4 linked regions of the Notamacropus eugenii genome follow. The protein of the gene in region 4 interacts with the protein of the main gene of each other region in a pairwise test. Links are inferred from orthologs where the notes say so. Each region holds a gene or a part of one and is shown on either strand. Other genes may lie near its edges.

Region 1 (8,006 bases), on a different chromosome or scaffold from region 4:
AGAAAATGAAATTAAAATTCAAGAACAAGAAACAAATGACTGTCACAGCACTTTGGTTTTCCAAGCATTTTGTTTCCAAAGCAGATTTTTAAAGGACAATAACCAACTAAATGTAATTAAGTTTATTCCAATTGTGCTAACAAAATTAATTGCACAATTTATTTTTATTAACTCGTTTCTTTCTAATACACTAAAGTGACTGGCATAGTCTCAGTTTCAACAAAATAAACTGTCTTCTTGAACATTTTTGTCTGAAATTTACCCTAAGGTTAAGTTTGCTAATATTTTTTGACTATGCTGCTGAATAACATTTTTTTTTAAAGGGAAGCAAATTGGGTTAATTATATGGCACTATACCTTTGAAGATAAACAGAAAATTCTTCTGGTAGTCCAGTGACTTACAGAACTTGGAAACAAAGTGTTGACATGTTTGATTTGCATGTAATTATAGATATATTTCTCTGTGCTGCATAAATACCACAAATAATACAACAAATGTGATTTGGCCCCTAGGATCATGAAGCATAGTACTGTGGTATGACCAACAAGGTATAAGGAATAGGGGTAATTAAAGAATATATTAGATGAAATCAAATTATCTTAATGGATTTTTACTCCTTTGATAAAATTTAACCATTTTTTCATTCTTCACATTCTCATCTTGAACTGCTACATAAGAGATGACCTTTTTTACTTTTATTTTTTTAAACTATGTTCTGGGATATAAAGAAGATTTTAATGTGTTATATAAATAATATACTAGTAATGCTGTATATAGACAAACAGACCTCTCTGGAAAAAAAAAATACAAGTGCTGTGTATCAGACCACTGAGGTTGTACTTTCAGGATTTACTCGAATAAGTCTAGATGCATTCCTCAAGTCTTGGAGTTGCTTGGCAGGTTTTCCTACACCTTGCTCAAACCTTTTTTCCACCACAGGGAGGACTGTTTCATATAGAAAGGATGCATTCTGTCTGATAAAGGCTTTCTTTTCTGGGTCCTGTTCACATCGGAGACTGTAATCCACATGTTGAACTGCAACCAATATTATTTCCACAAGACTCTCTAGAAGCACCATATGCAGCTCTGGAAAATACAATTTCAGAGCTTCTTCCAAGAAGCCCATAGTTTGTTTAGTGAAGGCCACTACTGTGTAGCTTAGGTTCACCCAGCAGTCATCCCCTGTGTACTGTTCAAAATTGCTCACCCCACAGCTTTTCATCTCCTCTTTGAGTTTCCCCAAGGCCTCTGGAGTCATCAGGTTCATCCTCCTCCACATTTCCTCAGAGTTTCGGTGCTTGGTGGCCTCAATTATGATTTCTTTATAACTGTGCAAAGCTCCTTGGATATCCTTCACCAGGAGTGCATGGATGATGAAAGTAAGGTCTAACCCAATATCACCCAACTGCTGGCAATGTTCCTTAGCCACCTTTACACACTCGGCTGCTGTAGACAAGCTCTCCTTGCTGTCAAATACCTGCTTGCTAAAAGCATCCACAAACATGCCCATGGCTGAACGGGCCCAAACAATAAAGGCAGAGTAGCAACCACTGTTGGTGCCTGCAAAATCAGTTTCAAACTCCCTAGCAGTCTCAAGAAGGCTGGTGAAGAATACATGACATAACTTGTGAATGTAGAGTAAAGTGGCACCTTCAATTCGCAGCTGTCTGATGGCAGTGTGCACAGCTGCTGCCCTATTTCTCAAAAACAGTTCACAAGCCTTGGTACACTGGCCAAGTCGTATTAACTGAGAAACTGCCCTTCGAGTGGCCTTAGGACCGCCTCTTAGAGAACGATCGGGGGAAAGTTCAAAGACTAGCACTTCAGTGAGTTGCCGGACTCGCTCATCCACTTTGGCCCTCAGCTCCTTTACAGAAGGTGGGCACGGCTTGCCCTCCAGATAGTGGTTTAACTTATCCAACAAGTCCACCGCCCCTTCAAAGTCCCTCTGGGCAATACAAACATCCAGGTCCTCCGGCAACTCCTGGATCCATTCCATCGATAAGTCCACTTTCTCCTCGACCTCGGGAGAAGTAGGCTCCTCCTCCTCTTCATCGTCCTCAAATGGGTTGGTGGCCTGCGAAGAGACGTGGGGCGGGCCCCGCGGGGCGGCGGCCTCCTCCTGTTCCCTTCGCCTTTTCTCGCCGAGGGCCCGCTTGGTTTCCTCCAGCACTTCCAGCCACTCCCTTTTGATCTTGGCATTCTCCGCCTGAAAGATTCGGCTCTCGGGGAACATCAGCAGCTTGAACATGTCCTTCATGGGCGGGTTATCCTTGACGTTCACCACCGCCAGACGGTCCAGCGGGTAGAGGGCGTTGTAGCGGTACATGCCCCGGCGCTGGGGCAGCCAGGTGGCCACCAGCAGGCAGTCGTTCATGAGAAAACCGTGCACCCGCTGCAGCTGGGCCATGTGGTCCGCCTCATACTCCACCAGGTCCCCGTTGTAGACCAGGTACTGCCCGGGGGTCTCCAGCATGTCCCTGCAGCCCTCCACTTTCTCCAGCAAGGTGGTCAGCGTGCGCTGCTTGCCTTCCTCGCCCGCACTCTGGCTGTCCCGGGCGGCGCCCCCGTGGCCCGCGAAGAAGCCGGCCGGGCCTCGCAGGTGGTCTCGGCCTCCCGGGCCGCCCGCGCCGCCCTCCTCGGCCCCGGCGGCGGCTCCCGCGGCGGCGGCGGCGGCCGCGGCGGCGGGGAGCAGGGTGAGCGGGATGCTCTCGAGGCTGCTCTTCTGCTCCGTCAGCAGGTGGCTGAGCTGGTACATCTCGCTCTCCAGGTAGGAGATCTCGCGCGCCGTCTCGATGAACTGCCGGTAGTTCTGGTACACGTTGCGCTTCAGATTCTGGGCCGTTTCCTCGGCCAGCGCCTGGATCCGCTGCCGGTGCTCCTGCAGGTCCCGGTCGCCGTCCGACTGCTGCGACAGCTGCTTCACGTACAGCCGCGCCTCGAAACCGCTCGATTCCAGCTGCCGCCGCAGGCGGCTCGCCCCGCTGTCTGACATGGCCATGGTCATCGCTTCCCCCAGTCACTGTCACGGTCTCCGCGGCCGCCGAGACCCACCCAACTCCGACGGAGTTCAGGGACCGGGGGAGACGGGCGGAAGCGAAGTGAATGCGCCTGCGCGGAAGGAGTCGGCCGGCGCTGGCTGCCAATCACGACGCATGCGCGCCGAGGGCGGGCTTAAGGGGTGTCAGGAAAATGAAGCCACCTGACTGCTGCGCCTGTGCAAAAAAAAAAAAAAAAAACACTTAAGACTAAGAGAGGAAGAAAAGCAGGAGGCGGCGACTGGGAAACTCCCTCCGGTAGTCAAGGCTCTGACGACTCAGGCCTTCCCGGAGATACCGGAAGTTGATGGTTTGTGGTTCTCGCGAGATCAGCTTCCGTTTCCGACCCGCTGATTCAAAACTCCGGCGTCAGCCTGCAGGAGCCCAGCTGGCTGCACTGTGAGTTTGCATCTTTCGGTGTTTTCCGGCTCCTCCCTCCGGGCTCCTTTCCGCTCTCCCGGCCGGGATGGAAGAGGACTTTGTGCTGGCCCTGAAGCTGCAGGAGGAATGGAACACGGAGGTCCCGGCGTTCGTCTCGCCCCCGAAGGAGCCCAAGTCGCTGGTGGACGAGGCTTGGGAGCTCGTGGACCCCAACCCGGATCCCCGAGCGCTGTTCGTGCAGTTCAATGAGCTGTATTTCTGGGGGCGGCTGGAGGCGGTGGAGGTGAAGTGGAGCTTTCGGATGACGCTGTAAGTCCGTCCCCGCAGTGCCCTGGGGGCCGTGGGGGCGGGGAAGCCCGGGCTGCCCCGCCTGGGAGCGGTCCCTCGGGCCCCTTGGCCCCCGGCACGGACCTGGGCTGCCCCCGGCGCGGACCTGGGCTGCCCCGGCCCAGATTTCTTCTTGGAGCGATAAAGCCAAAAATGAGTTCTGCCGTCTTGTGCTTTTACCTCCCCCTCCTTCCTGCGTACTTTTGAATGCGGAGGACTGGGCCGGAACTTCGTAGTCTAGAACCTGCCTTGCCCTGAAGCAAAATCTGATGGAGAAGATACGCATCTTATCGTCCTCCCCAGGGCTTGAACCCAGTCCTAGCAGCCTTAGTGTTTACAAGTGCTCCCCTTCTTTTGCTTCAGTAGTAAGAATTATGTTTTAATGGATGTGGATTCTTACTGAAGCGCAGCCCCCCAAACTTTGATTGGTATGAGCGTCTGTGATCCTTTCCTCCTTCTGACCCCCCTCTCCGCTTCCACCCCCCCCACCCCGCTTCCGGCACTCAGAAATCACCACCTGGTAATCCACCCTCTGCCGCAGTGATTGGATTTAGATTTTGAAGGGGCTTCAGAAGTCATCTAATCCAATTTAGAATCACAGGACTTGAATTTGGTTACTAACTCTGCCACTTGATACATGTTTGACCTTGGGCGAGTCACTCAATCCTTCCTAGGACTCAGTTTTTTCTTCTATTTGTTGAAGGAGTTTGAATCTTCCATCCATGCCTTACTTTTCTTTGGGACTCTTATCCACATCTTTCTCAAAAAGCATTCCACAGGAAAGCAGTCAACTTGGTGTGGTGGCCTTTCTCTTGATATGCAGCAATTAGTCAGCAGCTAGTAAATGACCACTATGGGCTGGGCACTGGGCATATCAGTATAATTAATTAATTAAGCAATCCCTTTTTGCAAGCAGCAAGGAGCTGCTCCTAATAAGGGGCAGACAGCAATGACGTACAAGTATAAAAAAAACTCCAAAAAAACAGAATAAATACAAGGTGGTTTGAATTGCACCCTCAAGGAAGAGATTCTATGAAGCTGAGTTGAGATTGGATTGCATTTCAGGCTTGGGGGACAGTGAAGGAAAGACAGAGGTGGAAAATGGAGTGTTTGTGAGAAACAGGGAAGGCCAGTTTGCTGGATCTCAGAGTAATGGAGGGAGTAATGTCCAGTGAACCTAGAAAGATACCGTGGGGTCAGGTTGTGAGGGCACTGAAAGTCAAGAAGAGGAGTTTTTATTTGATTCCAGAGAAAACAGGAAACCACTGGAGGTTAATTAGAAGGGAAGAATTAGTCATATTTATGATTAAGAAAAATCACTTTGGACAGTACTGCCCTAAAGTAGAAACCCAGGAGTCCTGGCTCATCCTGCCTTGGCCTGACCCTCTTCATACCTGAGGCATACTGGTGAAATCTCTCCCTTAATCCTACTCTGTCACTTTAAATTGATGCTTGCTGATCGAGATATGAGACAAGCTCATAGTCATGTTTTCAAAAAGTCTGCTGTGAGAAGAATAATTCGAAAGTCAAATGAAGGCTTTGCCCAGGGTTTTATGATCTCTGCTTTCCCAGACAAGTTCTTCCTTGTGACATTCCTTGAGATAATATTTCAACTTGTTAAAATACAGCATCAAATGGAAAAACCAGAGGCCTCAAATGGGAATATCTCAGTGTGAGTTTCTTAGTTTGTGACCAGAGTCCTTTGATTCTCCTCTTGTAGTTATTGTGTTGGATGAGATGTCATCAAGAAATGCTGAGGCAGAAGGTTGTTGGTGTTCACTCTATGGAAAATGGCTATTCAAAGGGCTCCTGATAGCCTTTAAAAAGAGGCAGAGCTTGGTAATTTAAGTAGTTTTTAAGTTCATGTAAGGAATTTCCGGTCCTCATTTTTACCTTATGACCATCTGGAAGGGATCAAATTTTGAGAAATAGAAAGTGTTCTCCCCTTCTCCTCCCCCCCCACCCCCCAAATACTAGCTTACCAGAATGCTAAGATGCCTTTGTATTGGTAATGGCCGTATACCTAATTGCTGTTTTACTTTGTTTTGGCTCTTTAATGCCTGTTGTGTACCTCTCTTTTTACCTTGCTGGGTTTGTAAGTTGAGTTTTGGGACTAAATTCAGCTGAAATTTCTTTTGAGCTTCCTCTTGTAATTTAAGAATAGGCTAAGAGGCATTATAAAAAAAATCTGGGAATTGTAGCCTGGACTGAAAGTGGGGAGAGATTTGAATCTGGATGATCAATTAGGAAGGAGTCCTTCAAAGTAATCAAGTGAGAAGTGATTTAGGCTTGAACTTGGGTGGTTGCTGTATCAAGAAAGGGTCTGATAAAACATATCAGGTGTGATCTAGGTTGTGGAAGGAGAAACAGGTTTGGCAACTGATTCATTATGTGGCTACTGAGGAAATGAAGATAAGGCCAAGATTATGAACCTGGACAGTTGTAAGAATGATGGTGCCTTTGGCAGATATGGGGAAGTTTGGAAGAAGCAAGAGTTGATTCAGGGACAGAATAATGAGTTCTGTTTTAGACATGTTGAGTTTGAGGTATCTCAGGTTGTCCATAGGCATCTGGTCATGTGAAGTTGAAGCTCCAAGGAGACAATTGAGCTGGATCTCTGTGTCTTCCAAATCATCAGTATAGATTTGATAGTTAAACCTTTGAGAGCTGTAGAGGTAACCAAAAAAGAATGTTTAGAGAGAAAAGAAAGGTGTAGGAGACCCACAGTTGAGAGGCATAATTTGGATGATTAATTAGTAAGAGAATGAGAAGGAGCTTTTATACACAGAGGAGAACCAGGAGAAAGTAGTGTCACAGAAAAGGAAAGGAGAAAGCATCCAAAAAGTGCCCTTTTATGTGAGAAAAATTTCACATTCTGCCTTTCCTGTCCTCCTCCTACTGTATCCCCGTTTCTCACTACCACCCACCCTCTTTTTTTAATCATCTCAATGTTGTATTGGATTTAGACTTATGACCTCTATAGATTTTAACTACCCTAATAATGATAAAGTTCTTAAGAGTTATGTGTATCACCTTCCCATATAGCAATGTAAACTTTTGTGTCTTTTGTGATTGCTTATTAATGTTTATCATTTTATTCTCCTCTTGAGTCTTGTGTTTGAATGTCAGATTTTCTATTTATCCCGATTATTTTCATCAGGAATTTTCAAGCATTCTTTTTCCCCTGGAAGGATTATACTTAGTTTTGCTGGGTAGGTTATTCTTGGTTGTAATCCTAGTTCCTTTGCCTTCCAGAGCATATTCCAAGCCCTCCTCTTTAACATGGAGGCTGCTAAATCTTGTGTGATCCTGTCTACATAGTATTTCAGTGGCTTCTTTCAAGCTGGTTGAAGTATTTTCTCTTTGTCCTGGCATCTCAGAAAGTTGGCTATACTATGCGTGGGAGTTTTCATTTTGGTTTCTTTCAGGAGGTAATTGGTAGGTAGATTCTTTCAGTTTCTAATTGCCTGGTGGAGCTAAGATATTAGCACATATTTCCTTAATAATTTTTTGAAATTTGATGTCTAGATCCCTTTTTTTGGTGATGGCTTTCAGGTAGTCTAATAATTCTTAAATTATTTCTCCTCAATCTACTTTCCAGGTCAGTTATTTTTCCAGTGAGAGAGTTTATATTCTATTTTTCCCCCATTCTTTTGACTTTGTTTCTCGATGTTTTATGTAGTCCTTAGCTTCCACTTGCTCAATTCTAATTTCTAAGGAATGATTTTCTTCAGTAAGCTTTTTTTTTTTCCATTTAGCAAATTATGCTTTTTAAGGAGTTCTTTTCTTCAGTGAATTTTTGTGCTTCTTTTACCCTTAGTCCACTTCTGTTTTTTAAAGTTATCTTCAGTATTTTTTGTGCTTCTTTTACCAAGGTGTAATTAAATTACATTCTCTTCATAATTTTCTTGCATCATTCTCATTTTTCCCCCAATTTTTCCTCTTCTGCTTGTATCTCTTTAATGTTTTCAGAACTTATTACAGCATTGTAGCTGTTGTATTCTTCTGAGATGGTATGTTGGTCTTCTCTGCCACTGTAGTAGTTTTTTATAGTCAAATTATTTTTTTTGTTTTGTTGCTCTTTTTCTCCAGCCTGTTTCTTGACTTTGTACTTTGTTAAAGTTGGACTCTGCTCACCTGGGGATGGGGAGCCACTGTCCCAAACGTCAGGCTTTTTTGTGTTGCTATTTGCAGAACTAATTTTGGAGTTTCTCAAGTTTTAAGTGCTTTCAAGGTGATGTGATCCATGATGTGGCATG
Region 2 (7,508 bases), on a different chromosome or scaffold from region 4:
TTTCCCTATGTACTATGTTGTCTCACCCTTTTAACCCCGAAGTGACCTACTGATAAAATCTACAATGTATACAGGCAAGAGAAAACAAAAGGAATCATGCACCCTGTATTTCCCAGGGAGTCTGACAAGTTTATTCTCAACTCTCAAAGAAAAGCACAGGCAAATGGGGGCAGTAACCTGGAGGGAAGGGAAGGTGCTACACAAGAAGAAAGACAAAAGCTATAGTGACATCAGTAAAATTGTTTTAAATAAAGAAAAATAAAAGTTCTTTATTCTTTAGAAAACCTTAAGTATTGTTGCTTTATTCTCTGTAAACAGACAGCACAGGTGGCAGAAGCAGCCATGTGGCACAGAGGGCTGCACTAACTTCAGAGACTTAGTGGCCTGACCTAGTTGTGTGACCCAGGGCAAGTCCCTTAACTTCTCTGGGACAGTTTTCTCACCAGTAAAAAGGGGATAATACAACAGTACCAATCTCCCAGGGTGGTAGAGATGAACCAATGAGAAAACATATCTAAATGCTCTGTAAACATAACAAGTCTTTGCTATTGTTATTATTATATGCCTTCAACAGTATCCAAGGTTCCCCTAGAAACTGAAAGTGCCAACTTAAAGATGAACAGATAAATGGGCTCCCTCCCCACAAGGGTGGATAAAACTTTAAATTCAAATTCCGAGCTTTGTTCTGCTTCCAGCTATAGTTTAAGAAATCCTCAGAAATTCTACAAAAGATCTCAGAAAGAACAAGACTCCCTAAACTGACTAACAGGGAAGAAAGAAGAAAGGGGAAGGAGAATAATGGTATTCTACACATAATATAAATACTCGAGCAACCAATAATTTAACAAAGTGAACTGAAATTAAGATGGATGTCCAGCAATGAGCACTGGATCTGGAATCCGGAGGCCCAAGTTCAAATCCCAGCTCTGCCACTCATTAACTGTCACTTTGGGTAAATCTCTTCACCTTTTCTGGGTCTCAGATTTCTTATCTCTAAAATAGAGGATGGAATGGTTTGATTCTCTAAAGCTCCCAAATCTATGACTATCCAGGGCTCTAAAACCATTAGATCCCTTCAGTTTCTGATTCAGGTCTTCGATGAGTTCTTTTGACGCAAAGGTCTGGCTTTAAAATCTACGCTCCTGTGCTCGTGAGACCCAGAAAAGGCGACTTGGCCAAGGATCTTCCCCCAGCTCTGGGCTTCCATACAGACTTCTTAATACTTCTCTTGACATGGCACATCCTTGTGCCCTGACCCCTGCCTTCGGCTAGATTGTCTTACTGAATTTTTTTTTTTCAAATGAAACGAGGTTGCAGGACAGCTACAGGACAAGAGGAAAGCTAGGTTTGGAGATGGAGGATTTGGGTTCAAATTCCAGCTGGGCCACCTGGGCTGTGTGATTCAGATTCCTCATTTGTAAATGAGGGAGGTGGAACTAGATGACTTCTGCGGTCCCTACCAGCTTCGCAATCCAAAATCCAATGGATACTCAAGTGCACGGAGACCAGGGTACATCCTCCCTACATCAGCGGCCCCGCCCCACTCTTCCAAGTATCCCATTCAAATCCCAGTCCAACTCCCTACAGGAGGAAGCCACAGCTCCGAACGGCAGCACCAGTTACCTCGTTTGAATTCCTCCAGGACGGCATCCAGCTTGGTGTCGTTGAAGACGAAGTGGAGGGGGTGATTGTAGAATCGGATGATGGTGCTGAGCGGGGTGCAGTCCTCCGGGTCCACGAAGGCCAAGTCCTTGAGATAGAGCATGTCCACGATGTTGGAGCGCTCTTCCTCGTACACGGGGATGCGGGTGTAGCCGCTCTGCATGATGGTGGACATGACGCCGAAGTCCAGGACGGCCGAAGAGTCCAGCATGAAACAATCTTTGAGCGGGGTGAGCACGTCCTCCACCGTTTTGCACCGCAGGGCCCCCTTGCTGAACTCCTCCCTCACGAACTCATTGTAGGGGTCAGTGCCCCGGGCCAGATCCACCACGCGCTCCCGCAGCCGCCCGCCTTCCGGGCGCAGGGCCAGCTCCAAGAGCTTGCCCACGGGCAAGGCCACGGGGAAAGTGAGCAGGACGGCCAGGCGGGTGAGCCCCAGCGCGCGCGGGGCCAGGCTCAGGCCCCATCGGCCGCTGACGGCCGCGGGCGCCACCTCGCCCACCAGGTAGACGAGGCCCGCGCTGCCCAGCACGGCGGGCACAGCTCTTTGGCCCACGGCACGGTAGAGGAGCACGGCGAGCGCAGCCTGGGCCAGACTGGCCAGCAGCAGTAGGGCGCACAGGGCGAAGCTGCCCCAGCGCCGCAGGGGCTCCAGGCGCCGCGCCGCCGCCCGCTCCGCCTCCGAGCCGCTCTCGCGCAGCACCTGCACTTCAGCCGGCTCCAGCGCCAGGGCGCTCAGCTGCAGCCCCCGGGCCAGCGCCGCCAGCCCCAGCAGCGCGGCCGCCAGCAGGCCCAGCGCCCAGGGCAGCAGGGGCTCCTCCTCCACGGCCAGCGAGTCCCCCTCGGCCGCGGGCGTCCAGCTCCCCTGGGGCCCCCCGCGGCTGCACAAGCGGTAGCGCGCGCCCCCCGCGGGCCCGCCGGGCTCCACGCGCACCGCGAGCAGCGCCGAGTGAGGCCGCACGGCTTCGGGGTTCACGCTCAGGGGCGCGCCCGCGCCCCCGTGCGCGCCCCCCTGCTCCGGCTCCCCTCCCCCCTCTGGGCAGCCCTCGCCCGCGGGAGCGAAGGCCACCCAGGGCCACGAGCGGTTGGCGAAGCCGGAGCCGAAGAGCCGCAAGCGGAAGGCGGCCCCGGGCGCGGCCCGGACCACCCGGCCCCGGGCCCACACTGGACCCTCGGCCCCGTCTCCGTCCTCTTCCAAGCAAAAGCCCAGCACGCGCGGGCCTGACGCTTCCCCCCCAGCGGCGCAGCCCAAGCACAGCGCGGCGAGCACCCAGCGTAGGCCGCCTGTCGCCGCTGCTGCCGCCGCCGCCGCCATCACCAGCCACCCCCCTCTAGGCCGCCCGCGCAACCTACTCCAGGGTCCCCGCCTCCCTCCGGCCAGTCAACGCGCCCATCCGCGCCCCTCTGGCCAATAGGAAACGGAGGGGGGCGGAGCGTCAGGAGTAGTACTAGGCTGCGCCGCGTTGTAAACAAGATGGGGGCGGGTGACCTGAGGGGGGCGGGGCACGTGGTGGAGTTTGGTTTTAAAGAGGTGACATGCTCCGTCTGACCCCTTGGGAACTGGGTTGGGTAGTGGGGGCGGGAGGCGGGGGAAAGGTGCCAGTTGAATCTATTGAGTTAATTTAATTTAATGTTTTTACATTTTAGGCTCCTTATTTTAGTTGGTTTTTTTTTAATGCAGAAGCACAGCATTACATCTCCCATCTCCACGCGTTTGCACAGGCTGTCCATCACTTACGCCTAAAATTCTCTCTCTCATCACTGCTTAAGGTCCTCTCAAAGCTTAATTTCAAGTGCCCCTACCTATTGGAGACCGACCTTTCCTGACTCCCCCAATTATCAGCTGGTGAGCCGTTTCAGTCGTGTCCGACTTCGATACTGCAGTGCTTTGCCGTTTCCTTCTTCCGCCCATTTCAGAAATTTGAACTTGGTCTTTCTGGCTCAAGCCAGGCGCTCCATCCACTGCAACGTGCAGCTGCCCACCTTCCTGCTGGAGATCTCCCCTGATTCCGTTATTAGTGTTCTCACTCCTCGCCCCAACCAACCAATCCCAACCCTAGTTATATTCCTTTGGTATATGTGTTATATTTACTTATCGGTGGGTGAGCTCCTTGAGGACAGAGGCTTTTTGTTGTGTCGTTATTATCTGCTCCGGTACTTGATGAAGGTTTATTGAATTGAGCATCGACTAGGAGTATTTTTGTCCATTGACTCACAAGAGGCCAAGCCGTGGCGGTCCTAGAACTGGGAAAGCCCCGCAAAACAGGTTTTTGTTCTCATGGAGCAAGTTGACCAACTATTGGGTACCTGAAACCCAACACCTCCCGAAGTCCTCTCTTCAAAGAACTTTAACAACTTCTAAAGGCACACACTGATTGAGAAGTACTACTGGGTTCTATAAGGTTATAGGTTTATAGCTGGAAAGGACCTTAGGGGTCATTGAATCCAACCAACTAAGGCTGACGTTGTTGCCCTGTGTCATAGTTAATAAGTATAAGGCAGGATTCAAATTCTTCTTCCTCCCAATTAAATTCCAAATCAATAAATCTGTATTAACTATCTTAGGTGCAAGGCACTGAGGATGCAAAAAAAAAAAAAATTTTTTTTTTTATATGCCTGAGTGCTTGTCCTCATGGAACTTACATTCTACCTTTTAGAGTCTGCTTGCCCTCTTTGGTCTTTGGTTTTCTTGTTTGTGAAATTAGATTGAACCAGACAGGCTCCTAGGTCTCTTCTGCCTCAAACCATGCAAGCATTCCTGTATTTTGTTTTGTGTTAAACTTCAATCCCAGGGAGAAGCAATCCCAGGAAGAGATCCTGAAAAATCAACAGAGTACAATCAAGGTCAGGTTCACTAGCTCAAGAGATCATTTGATTTTATTTTTTTCTATGTTGCTTGGCAATTATTAGTTAGGAATCATGGAATACAAGACAGAACCCTGGATTTGGATCCAGGAAAACTGGGTTGAGATTCCTCAGCTCAGCTACTTAATAGCTGTATGACTCTAGGCAAGTTCCTTAGCCTCTGTGAAATTCCGTTTCTTCGTTTGTAACACTACCCCCCTCCTAGGATTGCTATGAAGAGTAGGTTTTATAAGAGTAAAATGCCATATAAATGTGAATAATGATGAAACTGCTCTGGTAATGCTGCTGAAATGGTCGATGGATTTAGGGGACTCCTAGCTTAAGGTGTGTGTTCTGGACAGGACAACCATTAGATTAGAAACCCTTGGTGGCTGAGAGGGTGTAGTGGGAAACTCAAGCTGGATAACTTTTACAGGAATGTATTTTGAGGAGAAAAAATTGCTTGATTGTTTTGTTGGGAAATGTTTGTTAACTGTTAAAATATAAAATTTTTTTTTTTTTAAATATGACCAAACTGGAGAAGATAGAAAAGTTCTGCTGGCCAAAAAGAACTTTAATTGCCACAACTGACTGACCATTGTGAGTAGACACAGATTCTGGATTTTTACTCACTGCTCTGTATGTCTGGAACGGGGTACATACTACAGGACATTCTCAGTTACACTTCTTGATCCTGGTCAAACAAATGAGATGTCTGGGGCCAGTGCTGAAGGGACTCCTGGAAAATCTTGAATGGACCTTTAGTCCTTCTTCCCATCTTATGATGGCAAGGAGATAGGATGCTGAATCAGTTCAAAGAAGAACCTGCTTCCTGTCAGCTCTCCTTGCCTTGACTCTCCTGCAGGGGAAGTAATGAGCTCACTCACTCTCTTAACTCCCAATGAGTTGTGTGGAGATGGGATATGTGCTTTCCCCTACTCCCACAAGAAGAATGGATTCTATTAAGAAAGCTTGCATCTGGACCTATGGCTGATTTGTGTTTCCCTTTCTGAACAGGTAATTATCAACCTTAAGGTGGAGGTATAAAGGCTTGGAGTCAACTTTTAAGACCAAGAGGTCCAAAAGGACTGGGTTTATTGAGTGAAACTGCCTGGTTGCAAGGGGGTTTTCTTTGTCATAGAAGACAAGACCATCATTGGCTCCATTTTACCAGATGTTATACTGGGAGTTGTTTGGACAGTTGAGAGCTCCTGTGAAATGTAAAGTGTCTAATATGAAGCCAGACCTGCAAACTATTTTATGTTGTGATGAGGTTTAAGTATCAGCCTCCCAGAAGACTGTTAATGGCAGTTATTGCAAAACACTGTTCTAAATTGCTCTGTCAGTGTGAGCTATCTTTTGTGTTTTATTTGTCTTGTGTGTAGGCATACCTGCATCTCTGATTCATGATACACACTGAATAACTTTCTACTGCCCCTTTTTGGAGAAACATCAGCTATGAGCCAAAACCTAAGCTAAGTCATACTGGATTACTAGGGTTAAGATTTGAGCTGAAGAATGAGAAATGAGAGCATAGCTCCACTCTCATTAGAGGGTGGGCTACCAGGACTGAACAGGTCCAGACCATGTACATATGTCCATAGTACATGGACCTCGTAATGAAGAAGGGAATGGGCAAAGGACACCAGCCCCTGTGGACCCAGAAGCAGTTTCTTATTGTTAGAGAAGTAATTTTCTCCTTAAAAGAGGAGCTATAAAAGAGTATTAGGTACTTAATAAATGTTAATAATTAAGTTATTATTAATAAATACTTATCCATTGATTTAAGATTATCTGATATTACTAGGAATTAACAAACTTGGAAAACATTTAAAATATATCCAAAGACTTTAAAGAATCCAGCAGGTTTTCAGTGGTGGTAATGTACCCAGTCCATTCCTAACTTTTTCCCCTTACACTGGCTTCTAGATGTGTCTCTTTGTATGACCCCAGCACTAAGCCAGACATTAACCAATCCCTCGGGCCTGGACTGTGGCCCATTTGTGTCCTTCTGGTTTTCCTTAATTATAGTCTCCACCCCTTCTTATAGTATCTTAATAACAATGGACATTTATAGGCTCAAGGCACCACAGGCATTACTATCCTCATTTTATAGATGAGGAAACTGAGGCCCAGAAGAAGTTATGTGACTTGCCAGGGGATATACAACTTGTACAATTGTCTAAAGTAGAACTCAAAACCAAATATGAACTTCTTTCCTTATACCATAATTCCTTATTCAAAAAGATATGGTCGTGGAATCATATTTAGAGCTGGAAGGTCAAGCCCCTACACTTTATAGGTGAGGGAACTGAGAACCAAAGAAGGGAAATGACTTAGCCAAGGCCAAGTGGAGTAGATGACAGAACCACAGTTAAAACCCAGGTCCTCTAGCTCCAAATCCAGAACCATATTGCCTTGAACTTAGTTTCATGGGTCAGCATCTTCCGTTTTGTAAACTCCTATGCCAAAAGACCAGACTGTTGAAAAGACTTTGATGGAATGTTAGAACTGCAAAGGACCCTACAGATCTTCTATTGCTGTTCAGTCGTTTCAGTTGTGCCTGACTCATCATGACCCTATTTGGGGTTTTCTTGACAAAGATACTGGAGTGGTTTGCCATTTCCTTCTCCAGCTCATTTTATAGATGAGGAAACTAAGGCAAACAGTAAAGTTAAGTGACTTGCCCAGGGTCACACAGTTAGTGTCTGAGGCCAGATTTGAACTCAGAAAAATTAGTCTTCTTGACTACAAGCCTGGCACTCTATCCACTGTACTACCAGCTGCCCCAGAAATGTTCTAGTACAACCCATTCATCTTACAACTGAGGAAACTGAAGCCCAGAATGGGGACTCAAAATCAGATCTTCTGACTCCAAGTCCATGCCAATGACAGTATATCATTGGTCTCCTCTCCATCTTGAATACATTTCTGTTTCCAAACATTATGTTAATACATAATTATCCAACAGATCCAGAATACCTGTCCTGTCACTGGGAAGA
Region 3 (7,658 bases), on a different chromosome or scaffold from region 4:
CCAAGGTCCAGTTTTATGGATTTCCCAGAGCAGTGAGTGACTCTGCACAAGTCCCCTTTTCCACAAAAAGGGTAGACACCAATTCTGCTCAGTCATTTGAAGAAATGAAGGGAGGACAGAAGAATCCAGGGCAGAAGATAGCATACAGGCTCAGAGCTAGAGGAGAGAAAAGAGCTCCCCTCTGACAGAAAAGGGAATAGAAAACCATTTCGGAGTAGGTCCTCTCCCCTCTACTCAGAGGTACTCAAGCTACAGTTGACCTACTCCCCCTATACTCCAATATAGGAAGGCTAGCTAAAGCATTGCAGTCTACAAGTCCCTGAACCAAAGCAAGGGGGGAGGAACTCAGGAGTCAGAATTCCCAATGGTGACTGATAAAGGACACAAGAAAAATTGAAAGACCAAAAGACTGAGAGTGAAAACCTGAACAAAAAACCAATACATAATCAGAAAACCAACAAGAGGATCTAAAAAGAGAAAAATGAGAAAACTATTTTTTCCTTTGCCTACTGATCGAATGCAAAATGGTTTTTGGCCTTACATGCTTTGTCAATTTATTATATCATCTTGTAATTCTGAGTTTAAGCACGTATATGTTTGAGGTTAAGATCTTCCTCATTCTGTAATATCTCTTTTATTTTAATTACAGTTTTATTCATGCAAAAGATTTTAAATTTTATGTAACCAGAAGTGTTTTATTTATTTATATTTTACAATTTCGGTGTATTGTTTGGTTAAGATTCCATTGTCTTAGTGCCTTGCAATCTGATGTCCATTTCCCCCATTCACAGAAAACTGCTTTCTTCAAGTTCACCAATGATCTAAATTCCAAAATCCTAAAACAGCCTTCGCTCAGACATCCTCCTTGAATCCTCTTCAGCTTTAGACACTGATCGCCACCCCCTTTTCCCTGGAGGCTCTCCCCCTCTCTGAGTGTTCTAGACGTGGATCTCCTGTCTGATCACGCCTCAGTTTCCATGGCAAGCCCACCACCCATGTCTTAAGCCCGTGTTCCCCGGGGCTCTGTCTTGGGCCTCTTGATGTTCTCTCAGTAACACCCTTTCATCCTTTAGCCCTGTCCCCCTGCCTCTCATCAGCGCCCAAGCATTCAGCTCTCATCTCTAGGCCGATGATCCTCCATCCACATGCGTAGCTCTCAGCTCCCTCCCCCGCTCCGACACAATTCTGCTGGGCTGCTCCGCCTGGATGTCACGCGGGCATCTTAGACCTCATCAGTCCGAAAGAGGGCTCATCGCGGGCCTCCTTAAGCCCCCCAGGACTCTTAATCTCCTTTATTTCTGTCCAGGACTCCATCACTCTTCCCATTATTTAAGTGCGCAATCTGGGAGAGATTCACTCTCTCTGCACCTCCCCCCCCTCCCCAACCACCCAATCAGATACAGCTCTCCTTAACTCCACCTCCACTGACATCTTTCATATTGTCCTCCTGTCCATCCATGAAACTACCTCCGTGGGTTCTGACCTTCATCGTCCGTAGCCTGGGCTGTTATCTCATTTGGTTATTAACAATAATAATAACGACGCTGATGATACTTGGGCAGGCAGGTGTTAGGGTTATTACCTAATGATAATAATAAATAATAATAATGATATTTGGGGAAACAGGTGTTACTATCATCCCCTAATAATAATAATAATAATAATAAGAATACTTGGGCAGACAGGTGTTACTATTATCCCCTAATAATAATAATGATGACACTTGGGCAGACAGGGGTTACTCTCATCCCATAATAATCAATAATAATAATAACAATGATTCCTGGGGAGACAGGTGTTATTATTATCATCCCCTAATAATGATGATGATGATGACGACGATGATCCTTGGGCAGACAGGGGCTACTATCATCCCATAATAATCAACAATAATAAGGATGATGACGACGACGATGATCCTTGGGCAGATAGGGGCTACTACCATCCCATAATAATCAATAATAATAATAATGATTCCTGGGGAGACAGGTGGTATTATTATCATCCCCTAATAATGATGATGATGACGACGACGATGATCCTTGCGCAGACAGGGGCTACTATCACCCCCATTTTTACAGATGACGAAATTAAGCTCAGCTGAAGTGCCTGGTTTAAAGGACAGCTAAAACGGCGAGGCTGGATTCGCACTCAGTTCTTCCTGCCTCCCAGGCCGACGCTCCATCCCTTGGTGCCCACAAGTGCGCACTCTTTTTCAGGGCACCACCCTGCCTGCCCCCGCCCCCTCCCCGCCCCCCCGGAACAAGTTCTACTTAAATCGACAGGGAGGCCAAATAAACAGGGGCTACTACCCGGAGTGACCAGCGCGGGAGGACAAGGCCCTCCTTCTACGGCTCAGGAAGCCGAGGCCCGGCGCGGGGCTCCCCGCCGACACAGGCCGCTGCGCAGCCGCGCTTCCCCGGGCGGCCGGGCCGCCCCGGGCCCATCACCCCGACCGCCCCGGAGGGACGCGGCAGGCTGAATCCGCGCCTCGGGCCGCCTCCTGGACGGCTGCAGCCTCCCGCCCGCCCGGCCCTGCCCCCGGCAGCCCTACCTCGACAGCACCTCCAGGTCCTCCAGCACAGACAGCAGCTTCTCCCGCGTGGTGTTGCCGGGCACGTTGGCGATGCTGACCGACCCCGGCCGCTCCTTCTCCTTCTCCGTAGCCGAAGCCGCAGCCATCGTCGAGGCAGAGAGAGCAGACGATTCGCGCCTCCCCGCCGCCCGCAGACAGACGAATGCGGCAGCCGCAGCAGTGCGACAACATCTAGTGCGCAGTTAGGGGGAGGGGAGCGCCGCCGCTCCGACAGCGGCCGCTAGCGGGGCGGAGGAGCAGCTGCAGGCGCCGTGCCCCCTCCTGGGGAAGCCGGGACTTGGCTTCTCCCGCGGACGCCTTATCTCGAATCCGAAACGACAGAGACTTGGGGAAAAAGAGCGCAAACTCCGTGTTTTCTTGTCGCATCACAATGCTTCTACGAACCAACTCAATCTTTTTTTTTTTTTTTAATGTGGGTCTATGACTTCGTTGCTATGGAAACCATTCCCGGTGTGGAAACGCCCCTCCTCAGGCTGTGATGCACATCACAGGATCTTAGGTCTGGGGCTGAAAGGACCTCGGAGGTCCTCCGGGGCGCCCCTCGGATTGCAGATGAGGAAGGGCCGAGGTCCCACCACTGCGGTGGGACAGTCAGAACCTGTCTACACCCGCTGTGCCATCCTGCCTCTCAGACCACCTTGAGTGTGACCCAAGCAGGACCGCCCTCGGTGGCCCCCTGGGGCGGCTCAGGAAGCAGTGGTTTGGACTGGTAGTGCCTAGTAAGATAGAGGACTGGGCCCCGCTTTGCCTAATCAATACTGTACTGGGGGGCAGATTGCGAGCCTCTTCAAGTCAGTCTCCCCCCAGCTGTGCCTTCTCTGCAGTTCAAAGATAAAGTGGCCTGCCCAGGTCCACGCACCCCAGGGGGCAAGAAGTAGGACCATGAACCCAAACCTTTCTAGTTTCCTTAGCTTTCTACCCACTGTGCCACACTGCCTCAGCATAAATACCTGACATAAAGCGCCCGGATTATGAGTCTGTCTTAGTGTGAGAGAAGATAAGGGTGACCCTAGTCCTTGTCCTCAAGATAGGGGAGAAAATGCAGATAGACATAAGTACTAGGACATGCCAACTGATTTTTTTAGGGGAGGATGCCAGAAGCCAGGTGTCCAGGGAAAGCTTCATGGAAAAGGCAGGGGAACTGCTTTTGTCTTTTGAAGGAAACAAGGGATTCTAATTAATTAAGAAACATTTGTGAAGTGCTGTGAGACGTAAAATGGAGCACACTTAAGGGCTGCTGGCACAGGTTCACTCTTGATTTGGTCAGACAGGAAAGACACTCAAAAGGGGTTAATAAGCTTATTTTATTCTAGTCTGGTTCTCTGAGAAGGGGTTGCTGATAACAGAGCACAAACTCCTACAGGATTCCTTAATCACTCTTATCACAGGGGCTGGTGAGAAGCAGGAGACAACTACCCCTAAGTTTAGATGGGGTCAATAGAGACAGGTACAACTTGTGCTTCCACTAAATCTTCAACCCTCAACGGGGGCCAGTTGAGGCAAACAGATTCCCCCCAAGCCTTGATGGGGGCCGATGGGCCAATCAAGGCATGCACAGCATTCCAGCTTGGTGCATTCAACCCTAAGGATTTCCCTCAAGCTTCAATGGGGTCCAGTTGAGGCACATACAGCATTTGTGCATTCAACGCTAAAGGTTCCCCATTCGATGCCTGGTGACCACCTGTTTTATAGACCAACAGACAAAGAAGGCATATTACCAGCAACAGGCTCACAAATTTACATCACCACATCCCTGTATCTCACTGTGCAGCCACAGTGGATGTTTGTGTTATTTACCATTATATAACTATGCACAAGTGTGGTGGAGATGTTTTAAACCATAACTGTGGGAACTCATCTAGTACCTGGGAACTGAAGATTGTTATAGCTATGGATCCTGGAAAACTGAACTTTGAGAAATAATAACAAAAAGTCACTTTAAACACATTAAAATTCACCTTACATACAAGTGCATATTGTATGCCATGCTGGTGAATAAGAGGAGGCAAAAGATATTCCCCATCCTCAAAGAGCTCACAGTCTAATGAGGAGGCAACAAAAAACAAACAAGCTATGCAGAGAATAAATAGGAAATAATTAACAAGGGGAAAGCACTAGAACTAAGAGGCATTGGGGAAGGCTTCCTGTAAAAGATGGGATTTTGTATTGGTTGTTGTCCTTCGTCTTTGAAGAGGACCAAAATGACATCACCATGATACAGTGAAATTTCAGTGTGTCAGACTGTGGCTGACCAGACCAATACGAGATCAGAATGAGATGAGATTTTTTTATTAGAGGATTCTGGGAAGTTGGCAGAGTAGATCAGAAAATTCCAAGCTCTACAAATTTCCCCCACAAAGACAGAACATTGATGGGGCACTAATGATAGACCTCTAAAAGACTCTGGACTTTCCTACACAGCCCAGTTCATCTAGAGTGGGCATCTGGCCCACCCTAGCCCATCTTGATTACTTAATCAGCTTACTTGACACAGATCTTCCCACAGTCTTTCTGTAGAAAAGCGTCCATCTTTCCCCCATTATGTTGGTCAGATTCTTAAAATCTGGCCCACTTGTATAGGTGTCACAAATAGCACAGACTCTAGGAATCTCATCCACTCCAATTGGTGTTTTAATAAATGGCTTGGACTGCAAGAAGACTTGAGGGGGTTGAATTCTTTCAAGGCATACCCAATCCCTTTGCCCTTGAATTTTGGGGTTCGCAAGACTCCTAGACTGCAGCAAATATTACGCTCAAAATGAACAAAGAGCAGCAGAAATAAATAAAAGTCAAGGTAAAACAGTTGTCCTCCTAAGACAACTTGGGAAGACTTCTGGAAAGACTTGAGGTGTTGAGGTTTGGCCTAAGTGAAGTGCAAACAGCTCTTGGCAGACTCCTGTGAATCAACAAACTATAAACCCTGGGGGCAGATGGGTCAAGGGGCAGTCAACTCAGGCCTCAGAAACTTTCACCTCACACTCATTGTAGGGGTCCAAAGTAGGGTAAGATTAAAAGATCCTCTTCTGTTCCTGGATGCCAGACCCAGCTGTGCTCATCAGACATTGGTCCTGGACTGCAGCTGTGGGCAAGAAGGAGCAAGCACATGCCTGATAGCAGACAGGAGCCCTGCTGGCTATGGCACTAGAAGGAGAGCAGAGTCCCTGATTTTGTTTCCAGGGCAGAGAGGGAGAGGTGAAGTTTGCAGCCACTGGGAGGGACTGCAGGGAGTAAGAGCATTTACAAGTCAGTGCGGCTGGGGGCCCTAGCCATGGCTTAGGAATAAAGAGGGGTGCTCAAGATTGGGCCCTGGACAGAGCTCAGAAAGTCATGGTAAGACAGACCTGACACCTGGGCCGCCATTCCCCACATCTTGGGACTAGAACCTGATTACAATAATAAGCAGCTAAAAATAAAATAAAAATAAAAAATGAGTAAGCAAAGGAGAAAGAACCCTACCATAGATGGCTACTTTGGAGGTAAAGAAGATCTGAGTTCATATTCAGAGGAAGATGGTGAAATTTAAAAAGGCATTTCTTTTTCAAAGAGAAATGTCCGCTGATCACAAGCCCAAAAGGGTTCTTGGAAGAACTTAAAATGGAAGAACTTACTACTTCAAAAATCAAATAAAAGAGATTGAGGAAAAATTAGAAGAAAAAATAAGAGCAATCTAAGAAAATTATGAAAAAGAAAGTCAACCAACTGGAAAAAGAGATCCAAAGACTTAAGAAAACAACTCTTTGAAAACTAGAATTGGAGGAACAGGATGGAGGGAAATACAGTTAGCAATGGCAACTGAAAAAAATTTTGAAGCAACTTTCTTGAATAAAGGCCTCATTTCTCAGACATATAGGGAACTGAGTCAAATTTATAAAAATGAAGGCTAGAATTGGGCAAGAGGAAGTTGCTGATATTGTAAGATACTAAAAAAATAATAAAATAAGGTCAAAAGAATGAAAATATAGAAGAGAATGTGAAATATCTCATTAGAAAAACAACCAATCTGGAGAACAGATGGAGGAGAGACGATATAAAGATTGTTGGACTACCTGAAAATTATGATCCAAAAGAAGAATCTTGATACAATATTGCAATGAAAATTGCTCTGAAGTTCTAGAACAAGATGGTAAAGGAGAACAGGACTATAGCAACCTTGTGTTTGTCGAATATAAAGATTTAAGTTTAGGGATAAGAATTCTTTATTTCGTACAGATTGTTGGGAAAGCTGGAAAGCAGTCTGGCAAAAACTGAGCACTGAGACCAAATTGAGACCAATTTCTTAAACTATGTACCAAGATAAGGTCAAAATGGATACATGACCTGGATATAAAGGGAAGTATCACAAGAAAATTAGAGCATTGAACATATTAACTATCAGACTCATGGATAGGAGAATAATACATGAAGAAACAAGAGATAGAGAACATTTGAGGTGTGAAATGGATAATTTCAATGATCAATGTAGCCAAAATTAGAAGGAAAGCAGAAAATTAGAAGAAAAACTTTTATAGACAATCTCTCAGATAAAGGTCTCTCAAATATATAAAGGACTTTGTGAAATTTATAAGAATACAAGTCATTCCCCCATGATAAATGATCAAAGAATATAAACAAGCAATTTTTCAATGAAGAAATCAAAACTATAGTCATATGAAAAAATGCTCTGAATCATTATTGATTAGAGAAGGGCAAATTAAAACAACTTTGAGATATCATCTTACATCTATCAAGTTGACTAAAATGATAGATGACCTTCAATTGAGGAATGGTTAAACAAGTTGAGATAGAAGATTATGATGGAATACTCACTTTGATGTAAGAAATAATGAGCTGGTTGATTTTAGAAAAACATGGAAGGACTTTGACCCATGAAGGAAGGTACTATCCACCTCCAGAGAAAGTACTGACATAGAAATATGTATAGCATGGTCTTACATATATTGTATATATGTATGTGTATATTATATATGGGTATGCGTACATATATATGTATGTGTGCATATGTGAGTGTGTGTGCATATATATATCTATTCATGTTTAAGTGTAGCCTTCTATAGGATGGGGT
Region 4 (7,909 bases):
CCTCATCTAGAATGTTTTCCCTCTCTCTCACCACCAGATGACTCCTAGTTATTCTTCAAAATCAAATTTAAATGCTACCACCCCTGGGAAATTTCTTTCTCTTGTACCCAGCTGTCCCTCTCCCAGCCCCTCATTTGGTAAGAGCTTTCCCCAATAGGCCTTACATAGCACTTAAAAAAATAACTCTCCAAGGCTCTTATGTTTGTGAGAGAGAGACAGAGATGGAAAGAGAAAGGGAAATAGACAGAGAAAGAGAGAAAAAGACAGAGAGAAAGAAAGAGATGAGAGAAAAGGAGAGACAGAAAGGAAGAGAGAGATAGAGAGGGAGACAGAAATGGAGTGAAAAGGAAAGAGAGAGACTGAGACTGTGAGAAAGAGGAAAAGAGAGAGAGATACAAAGGAAGAAAGAGACAGACAGAGACAGAAAGAGAGAGAGATTAAAAAGAGACAGAGACAGAGAGAGAAAGAAAGAGATGAGAGAGAAAGAGAGAGAGAGAGAATCTGTGGTTTCACTGATGTAGGGAATACCTCCATGAAGAAACTCCCTTCTGTTAATAGAGGTTAGCCCCCTTTCTCCCTCTCTGCATTTAGAGAGTGACTTGGTTAGAGTCATGCCGCTAATATGTGTGAGGGGTTGTCTTCTGGCTCAGAGGCAGAGCCTTTCTCCTCCATGTTCTGGTGCTTCTTGTGTATCTGTCTCTCTCTATGTAGAGATCCAATTAAATATATATACATATATACACATGTATGCATTCTAAGATTCTATATTAATCCCTTCTGGACTATAGTCTGTCATTCTCTATGTTTCTATATCGCATGTATTTAAGATTCTTTAAGTATATGTATAGACCTATGTGTTATATTACAGCCATTATATCTATTCTAAGTTCCTATGAATATATATACATATTCTAAAATTCTATAAGTATATGTGTATACATTTATAACTATAATACAACAAATGATTACCTTTCATTTTATATCAATTGTATATTCTAAGTTGCTATAAATACATATACCTATATTTTAAAATTCTATATTAATGCTTTATTAGTCTATATTATTCTAGGTATTTTTATATTGTATATAAGATGCTATATTTTAAGATTCCATATTCTATATTAGTCTATGCCCCATTATTCTATATATTCCTATGTTATATATTCTAAGATTCTGTAAATATACTCTATTAGAACTATTTTATGTATATGTAGGTACATGTATATATGTAGGTAGGTACACATACGTGTGTATGTGGGCACATACAGGTACCATAATTATACAAACTTGTGTTTGCTTATCGCCCGTCTAGAGGTCCTGTGGTATAGCGGACAGCGGTGAGCTGCCTATGGAGATCTGAGTTACAATCCTTTCCGTTCTGCATCCTGGCTCTGGGATTCCATGAAAATCACTGAACTCCCCAATGCTCCAGGAAACTCCTCAAGATGACCCGTGGCCAAGATGTTTCCCCACGTGTGATGGTACAGGAAGTTCTTCAGCTGGTGCTGCCTCACCTATAAAATCCTAGGTCCCATCACCACCCCTTTCCCTGTTGCGACTACCTATAGGACACTTGTCCCTTTCTGTATTGTGGGCTCCTTATTGAAACCTAGTGTCTCTTCCAAGGCCCAATGTGTGTGTGTGTGTGTGTGTGTGTGTGTGTGTGTGTGTATGTCTGTGTCTGTGTGTGTATGTGTGTGTGTAGCTGTGTGTGTATGTGTATGTCTGTGTCTGTGTGTGTATGTGTGTCTGTAGCTGTGTGTGTATGTGTATGTCTGTGTCTGTGTGTGTATGTGTGTGTGTAGCTGTGTGTGTATGTCTGTGTCTGTGTGTGTGCAAGTGTGTGTGTGCGTGCGTGTGCGCACGCGTGCTTAATCGCTGCTAGCTATGTTGTCTCACACGAGGTTCTGTGTTCAAAGGGCTCCTCAGCACCAGGTAAAAGTTAAACCTTTTGACCTTCAAAAGTCCTTCAGAAGCTGAGACTCTGTGATTACATAACCAGAGAAATGACCAATAATGTGTCCTTTAAAAGCAGAAATCCAACAACTACAAATCATTCCAGAAGAGTCAAATTCTTTCCTGAGTCACAGACTGTTAGAGTTGGGAAGGACCTTAGGACACAGACTGTCAGAGATGGAGGGCCCTTAGAACCCAGAGTATCAGGGCTGGGAGGACCCTTAGAACCCAGGATATCAGAACTGGGAGGGCCCTTAGAACAGGGAATGTCAGAGCTGAGAGGGATGTTAGAACACAGTGTCAGAGAAGGGAGAGCCCTCAGAACATGAAATGGCAGAGCTGGAAAGGGACATTGGAACAGAGTACATGAAGTCAGAGCTGGGAGAAACTTTAGGAAGCCTATAAGCCAGCTTTCTCCCTGTAAAGTCAGAGCTCAGAGCAGTAAGACATGACAGGGGGTCATACCTTTCTGCCCTTTGCCCCCCAGCCCCAGTCCTACCTGGGTCTGTCCAGCTGTAGACAGTCACTCTGGCTGCTGGGCTCTGCAGTGATGACCAGGTGCTCTGCCAGTGACTCTTCCCTGGGCAGTCTGGGTGCCTGCTCTGGTCCAACGCTGCTTCCCATGGTGTCTGCCTCTTCAGTGCTCTCCACCACAGGGTCCAGCTCCCCCTGCAAGCACCCTTAGCCTTGGTCACGGGGTTCTGAGCCCCAGTGGACTAACATCCTATGTCAGTATTGTGGGTCATGGAGGGGACACTCTGGTCAAGGAATTCTGGGGATACCTCCATTGGGCAGAACTTAAGGTTCAGAATTTTCTGGGAAGATGAGGGTTTCAGATTGGCAAATAGGCCCCAAGACTAAAGCTTGAGAGGTGGGGAAAGGCCTCCAGAGTTAAGGTAACCCAGGGGCCTTTCCATTCTTTCCAACCCCACCCTGCCTGACAGAGGGAGAGGTGGCCACACTCGGCCTGTCCATGGATTGCCATCACTCACTGGGGGTGGTGCCCTCCCCCGCCGGCTCCGGGGTCTGCTAGCTCGGCTGCTCATCTTTGGTTTGGAGCTGACCTGTGGGGGACAGAGAGAAGGTGGGCCCCGCTGACATCCCCCCAATCTATTTCTGTCCAGCCATGAATCCCAAAGACTTTGGCCCTGTGACCTTTTACCTTTGTTTTGTTGGACCTTAGTTCTTAGTGTCTCATCCGCACCCAAACAAGTTCATCTTCCTGATTTCCGTTTCTGTCACCAGCACTGCCATACTCTCAGTCTCCCTAGTCTGAACTCTCAAAGGCACCTCCCCATCATCTTTTTTCCTTACCCAGCTACACTCATCAAGTCAAGTCTTTACATTGAGTCTTCCAACCAGACATTGTGAAAGAATCAGACTAGAGCTCTTTCTCTCTTCCTTACCTGGTACAGCTACTTACTTTACCATACTTGTCAGCTTAGGGAGAGCTTAGGTTATGTGATATCAGTCACTGGTCCAGCAAGAAATATAGAAGAAATCCCTGGAAAAGGCAGGCAGAGGTCTTAGAAGGAAGTTTACATGTAATACTCTGATAGATGATACTCTAACCCATTTGTGTCCTGGAGCCCTTTGGAAGTTAGTCTGGTGAAACATATGGTGAAACCTTCTCAGAATAATGTTTTTCAATGCATAAAATAAAAATGCAATTTAATTGGTTTCCTTTGTAATCCTCTGTATTTTTACAGTTGTCTATATATGTATGTGTGTGTGTGTATATATATATACACACACACATACATATATACATATACACACATATATGTATATGTAAATGCATGGTCTCCCAGGAATATATCTGCAGACCCCTAGGGAGTCCGTGGGCCCAAGGTTAAGAATCCCTAATCTACAGAACTATGTCACTATATGCAGGAACAGCAACATTGTTTGATGACCAACCTTGATAGACCTACCTCTTCTCCACAACAGTGATTTAAGACAACTCCAAAAGTCCCATGATAGAAAATGCTATCCACATCCAGAGAAAGAACCATGGAGTCTGAATGCAGATCAAAGCAGACTACTTTCTCCTTTTTTCCCCTTTCCCGTGGTTTTCCCTTTTTGTTCTGATTCTTCTTTCAGAACACAGCTGATGTAGAAATACGTTTGATATGATTGTACATGTATGGCGTATGTTAGGTTGTGTGCCATCTTGGGGAGAGAGGAGGGGAAATTTAGAACTCATAATCTTATAAGAGTGAATATTGAAAACCAAAAATTAATTAATTAAAAAAAGAATCCCTGCTCTAACAACCTCCCTTTCTATCCAAATTGGGAATCTTTTGCTCATCCTCACATCTGATCGCTACCTGCCCCATGCAACCCCATGCCTCACCTACCTGCATTTCTGACTGCTGATAAGGGTGTATTGCTTCCCTCGTCACTGTCTGCTTTCCCAGTTCCAGAATTCAGCAGATGTGCTTCTCTTTCCAAAGTCCTCCTATACCAATCAGTCTCCAGCTAGTCCCCCTGCCTGCTTCTAGCTTCTCCCCCTCCAGTCTCTTAACACTTAGCATAGTGCTTGGTACATAGTAAATGCTTAATAAAGGCTTTTATTTCATTTCATCCTCTTCCAGAAAACTTTCCCCAGTCCAACCATTTGCTAGTATTCTCTTCCTTCTTAAATCATCTTTCTTTAAACTTGTCTGTGCACATACTGAATCCCACAAAAAAGCAAACTCTTTGAGTGCAGAATGGTCCCTTTTTGTCTTTGTATCCCCAGTACCCGGCTCATTGTATCTCATAAATGCCATTTAAATGCTTATTAAATTTAAACGTTGAATCTTCCTAAAATTCAGCTTTGGTCATGCCCTTCCTCTCATTTTCTGTGGCTCCCTATCACCCATGGAACAAACAGTTAAACTCCTTAGCCAAGAATTCCAAGTTCTCTCCTTGTCTCCTCCTCTACCTAACATTTAGCAGCATTCCTTCCTCCCATTTTTCAACATACATTTACTTGGGACTATGGGAGAGACAGGGCTAAGAACTTACTGTCTAGCTGGGAAAATAGCTTTTTTCTTCTATGCCCAGAAATACAAGGCAAGACCACAAGACAGTTAGATAGGGTCTCAGAGGAGAGAGAGATCACTTCTGATAGGGGTGGGGTGGAACAGGGAAGACTTCCTGGAGAAGATCACTTTGGAACTGAGACAAGAAGGAAGGGCAGGATATTGGCAGGCAGAGATAGAGGAGGAGACATATTCTTCTACATGATTCTCAAAACATCCCATGGGAGTTTCATCTCCCCAGCCTGACTACAACAAGCTCCCCAAGGGCAGAGCTAGTTCTTTCCTTTCCCCTGTCTTTTCCCATACCTCACAGGATGCCTGGCTCTGGACTGGGCATACATAAATGCTAGGTTTTGATAGCTCAGATGGTCCTTTGAGGAGATCTTTATCTTGAGTTAGGAATGGCTAAAGTTAACTTGGCCACTGATTCTCTCTGTGACCTGATGCAAGTAACTTTCCCTGTCTGGGCCTCAGTTTTCTTATCTGTAAAACAATGTGTACTACATGACCTCTTTTTAAGGTCCCTTCTAGTGCCACAGGTTGACCGTTCATGGAGATATCATCAGTATCTCCTGGCCCAGTGGTTCTTGATCTGCAGGCTGCAGACTCCTGTCAATCTCAGAGTTAATGCAAAAGCTCCATGTCATGGAAGGACTGTCTCAGTGTAACAAATGAGCAAACAATTTATCTTCTGCAGGCTAAACAAATACTTTTGCTTATATATACACATATCACTTATTAAAATATACATAATGATTAATAAAATACAAATTCATCTTGCATAATGGATGCCAGTAATGCCACTGCTTTTCATGCCTGAAAAGGATGGGAACCACTACCTAGACCAAGCCCTTCCTTTAGCAGATGAAGAAACTAAGAATCAGATTAGGGAAGTGATTTGCCCAAGGTCACACAGATGGTAAATATCAAAGCTTTGAAAAACCTTCCATTGGAAGTTCTGGGGCTGAGCCCAGAGTCAGAAGGGAAAGAGAGCTTTTAGAAGCTGAGAAGAGATTCCAAAACCAGACCCAGCCAGCATGAGCCCCAGTATACATCTGACTGGAAGATACTTATCCTTCTAGGAAGGGTGAGTGAGTTGGGACTTCAGAGCTCCCATTCTATCCAGCCTCATTACCCCGGGAGTTACCAGAGTTGCAGTGGATGAAAATACTGGATCCTAGCTCACTGATACCCTCCTGCCTGCATTTATCAGACTCATACCAAGGGCCTGACACAGTCCCTCATCACCCTTGTTCCCTTTTCTTAACAAAGCCTGTGGGGATCCAGATACCCAAAGCCAAGAGTAAAGCTAGGACAGGGAGATCACCACCCCCACTGCTAAGGCAGGACCCCCAGACCCTCCCAGGTGTAATGGGTACCTCTGGCTCACAGTGGGGTCATCAAGAGAAGGAAAGCTTCAGGAGACCAGGACTCCCCCAGGGCTCCCTGTTACTGACAGAGTGAAAGCCCAGGCCACCAGTCCTACTAATAGGACCATCACTGTCAACAGCTGGTCAAGCCAGTGCCGGAAAGACTGGGGGCTGGACTCAGGGAAGTAGGATACCACCTCCCCCCTGTCACGTGGGTCCCTATTGTGTAGTTTCCTCCCCAAGGGCATGTGTTCCCTACACACCCTAGGACCAAAAGCAAGGAAGGAAGGAAATGAGGGAGGAGAATAGGGGGTGAGGGAGAGACTTGAGGGGATGAGAAACAGGGAGGGAAGTAAGGTTGTTAGAACTGAAGAGTAAGATGGGGCAGATCTAAGGGGAGTGAGTGGTAAGGATGAAGAAATGAGAATCAGAAAAAACTGGAAGAATCAGAATGGGAAAAAAATTTGGGAAGCATGAATGGGGAGAGAACTAGGAGAATGGAAATGGGGAGGCTAGGAATGATAGAACAAAATAGTAAGTGGATTATTGAAAGGCAAGATCCCTGAGAGAAATGAGTTCAAGAAGCCAGATGTGAATGGACTATATCCTGTCTCTACTGATGACATTCTAGAACAGGGTTGGCGGATATGATTGCTGAGCCACTGTCAGTGATCACTAAAAGTTCTGGGAGAAAAGAAGGGATCAGTCTTATAGGATTGGAGAAAGGCAAATGTCCTGATTTCCAATGGGCCACTGAGCTTTACTCAGTTCCAGAAAAAATTGTAGAACATATTGTAGCACCTTTCCTTTTTTTTTTTTTTTAAAGATAATTAATTTATTTTTAGTTTTCAACATTTACTTCCATAGATTTTGAGTTTTTAATTTTCTCCCTCTGCCTCTCCTCCCCCCTCACCAAAACAGCATGAATCTGATATAGGCTCTACTTATACATTCATATTAAACATATTTTCACATTAGTCATGATGTAAAGAAGAATTAGAACTAATGGGAAAAATCATGAGAAAGAAGAAACAAAATGAAACAACAAAAGAAAAGGAGAGCAAATAGTCTACCTCCATCTGCATTCAGACTCCAAGGTTCTTTCTCTGGACATGACTAGCACTTTCCATAGTGAGTCTTTTGGAGTTGTCTTCAATCCCTGCATTGCTGAGAAGAGCTAAGTCTATCAGTCAGTCATCGCACAATGTGGCTTTTACTTAGTATGATGTTTTCCTGGTTCTGCTCACTTCACTCAGCCTCAGTTCATATAAGTCTTTCCAGGTTGTTCTGAAGTCTCTGCTTATCATTTCTTACAGCACAATAGTATTCCATTACATTCATATGCCACAACTTGTTCAGTCATTCCCCAACGGATGGACATCTGTAGTACATTTTCCAAGGCTATTTCTGCAGCTCCCACTTATACTTTGTACTGTACTGGCAGTTACTGTCCTGATGGGCTTAATATCCAGAGAACAGATGCTACTACCAATTTTAGGGATCACCCAGAGAGGCTAATTACTAGTACTTTGTTCACAAGCCCCCACCGGTGTG

Evidence for each region.
Region 1: the proteins of USHBP1 (region 4) and EXOC8 interact in binary tests that used the Homo sapiens proteins (3 or more experiments, as listed by UniProt). The two-hybrid records come from large-scale screens. The link is inferred for Notamacropus eugenii from reciprocal best matches to the Homo sapiens genes USHBP1 and EXOC8.
Region 2: the proteins of USHBP1 (region 4) and CNNM3 interact in binary tests that used the Homo sapiens proteins (3 or more experiments, as listed by UniProt). The two-hybrid records come from large-scale screens. The link is inferred for Notamacropus eugenii from reciprocal best matches to the Homo sapiens genes USHBP1 and CNNM3.
Region 3: the proteins of USHBP1 (region 4) and MED4 interact in binary tests that used the Homo sapiens proteins (3 or more experiments, as listed by UniProt). The two-hybrid records come from large-scale screens. The link is inferred for Notamacropus eugenii from reciprocal best matches to the Homo sapiens genes USHBP1 and MED4.

The regions. Positions count from the first base shown.
Region 1 is NC_092873.1:389,687,438-389,695,443, forward strand, and holds the start of EXOC8 (exocyst complex component 8), read right to left. Parts: upstream 3,009-8,006; coding exon 822-3,008; 3' UTR 1-821. Other genes in the region: DNA-dependent metalloprotease SPRTN, read left to right, coding at 3,506-3,729. UniProt on the Homo sapiens protein: Component of the exocyst complex involved in the docking of exocytic vesicles with fusion sites on the plasma membrane.
Region 2 is NC_092872.1:523,504,816-523,512,323, forward strand, and holds the start of CNNM3 (metal transporter CNNM3), read right to left. Parts: upstream 3,005-7,508; 5' UTR 2,978-3,004; coding exon 1,624-2,977; intron 1-1,623. UniProt on the Homo sapiens protein: Probable metal transporter.
Region 3 is NC_092876.1:108,437,603-108,445,260, reverse strand, and holds the start of MED4 (mediator of RNA polymerase II transcription subunit 4), read right to left. Parts: upstream 3,011-7,658; 5' UTR 2,683-3,010; coding exon 2,555-2,682; intron 1-2,554. UniProt on the Homo sapiens protein: Component of the Mediator complex, a coactivator involved in the regulated transcription of nearly all RNA polymerase II-dependent genes.
Region 4 is NC_092875.1:60,746,930-60,754,838, forward strand, and holds the start of USHBP1 (harmonin-binding protein USHBP1), read right to left. Parts: upstream 3,015-7,909; 5' UTR 3,003-3,014; coding exon 2,949-3,002; exon of another isoform or gene 2,626-2,948; coding exon 2,456-2,625; exon of another isoform or gene 1,313-2,455; intron 1-1,312.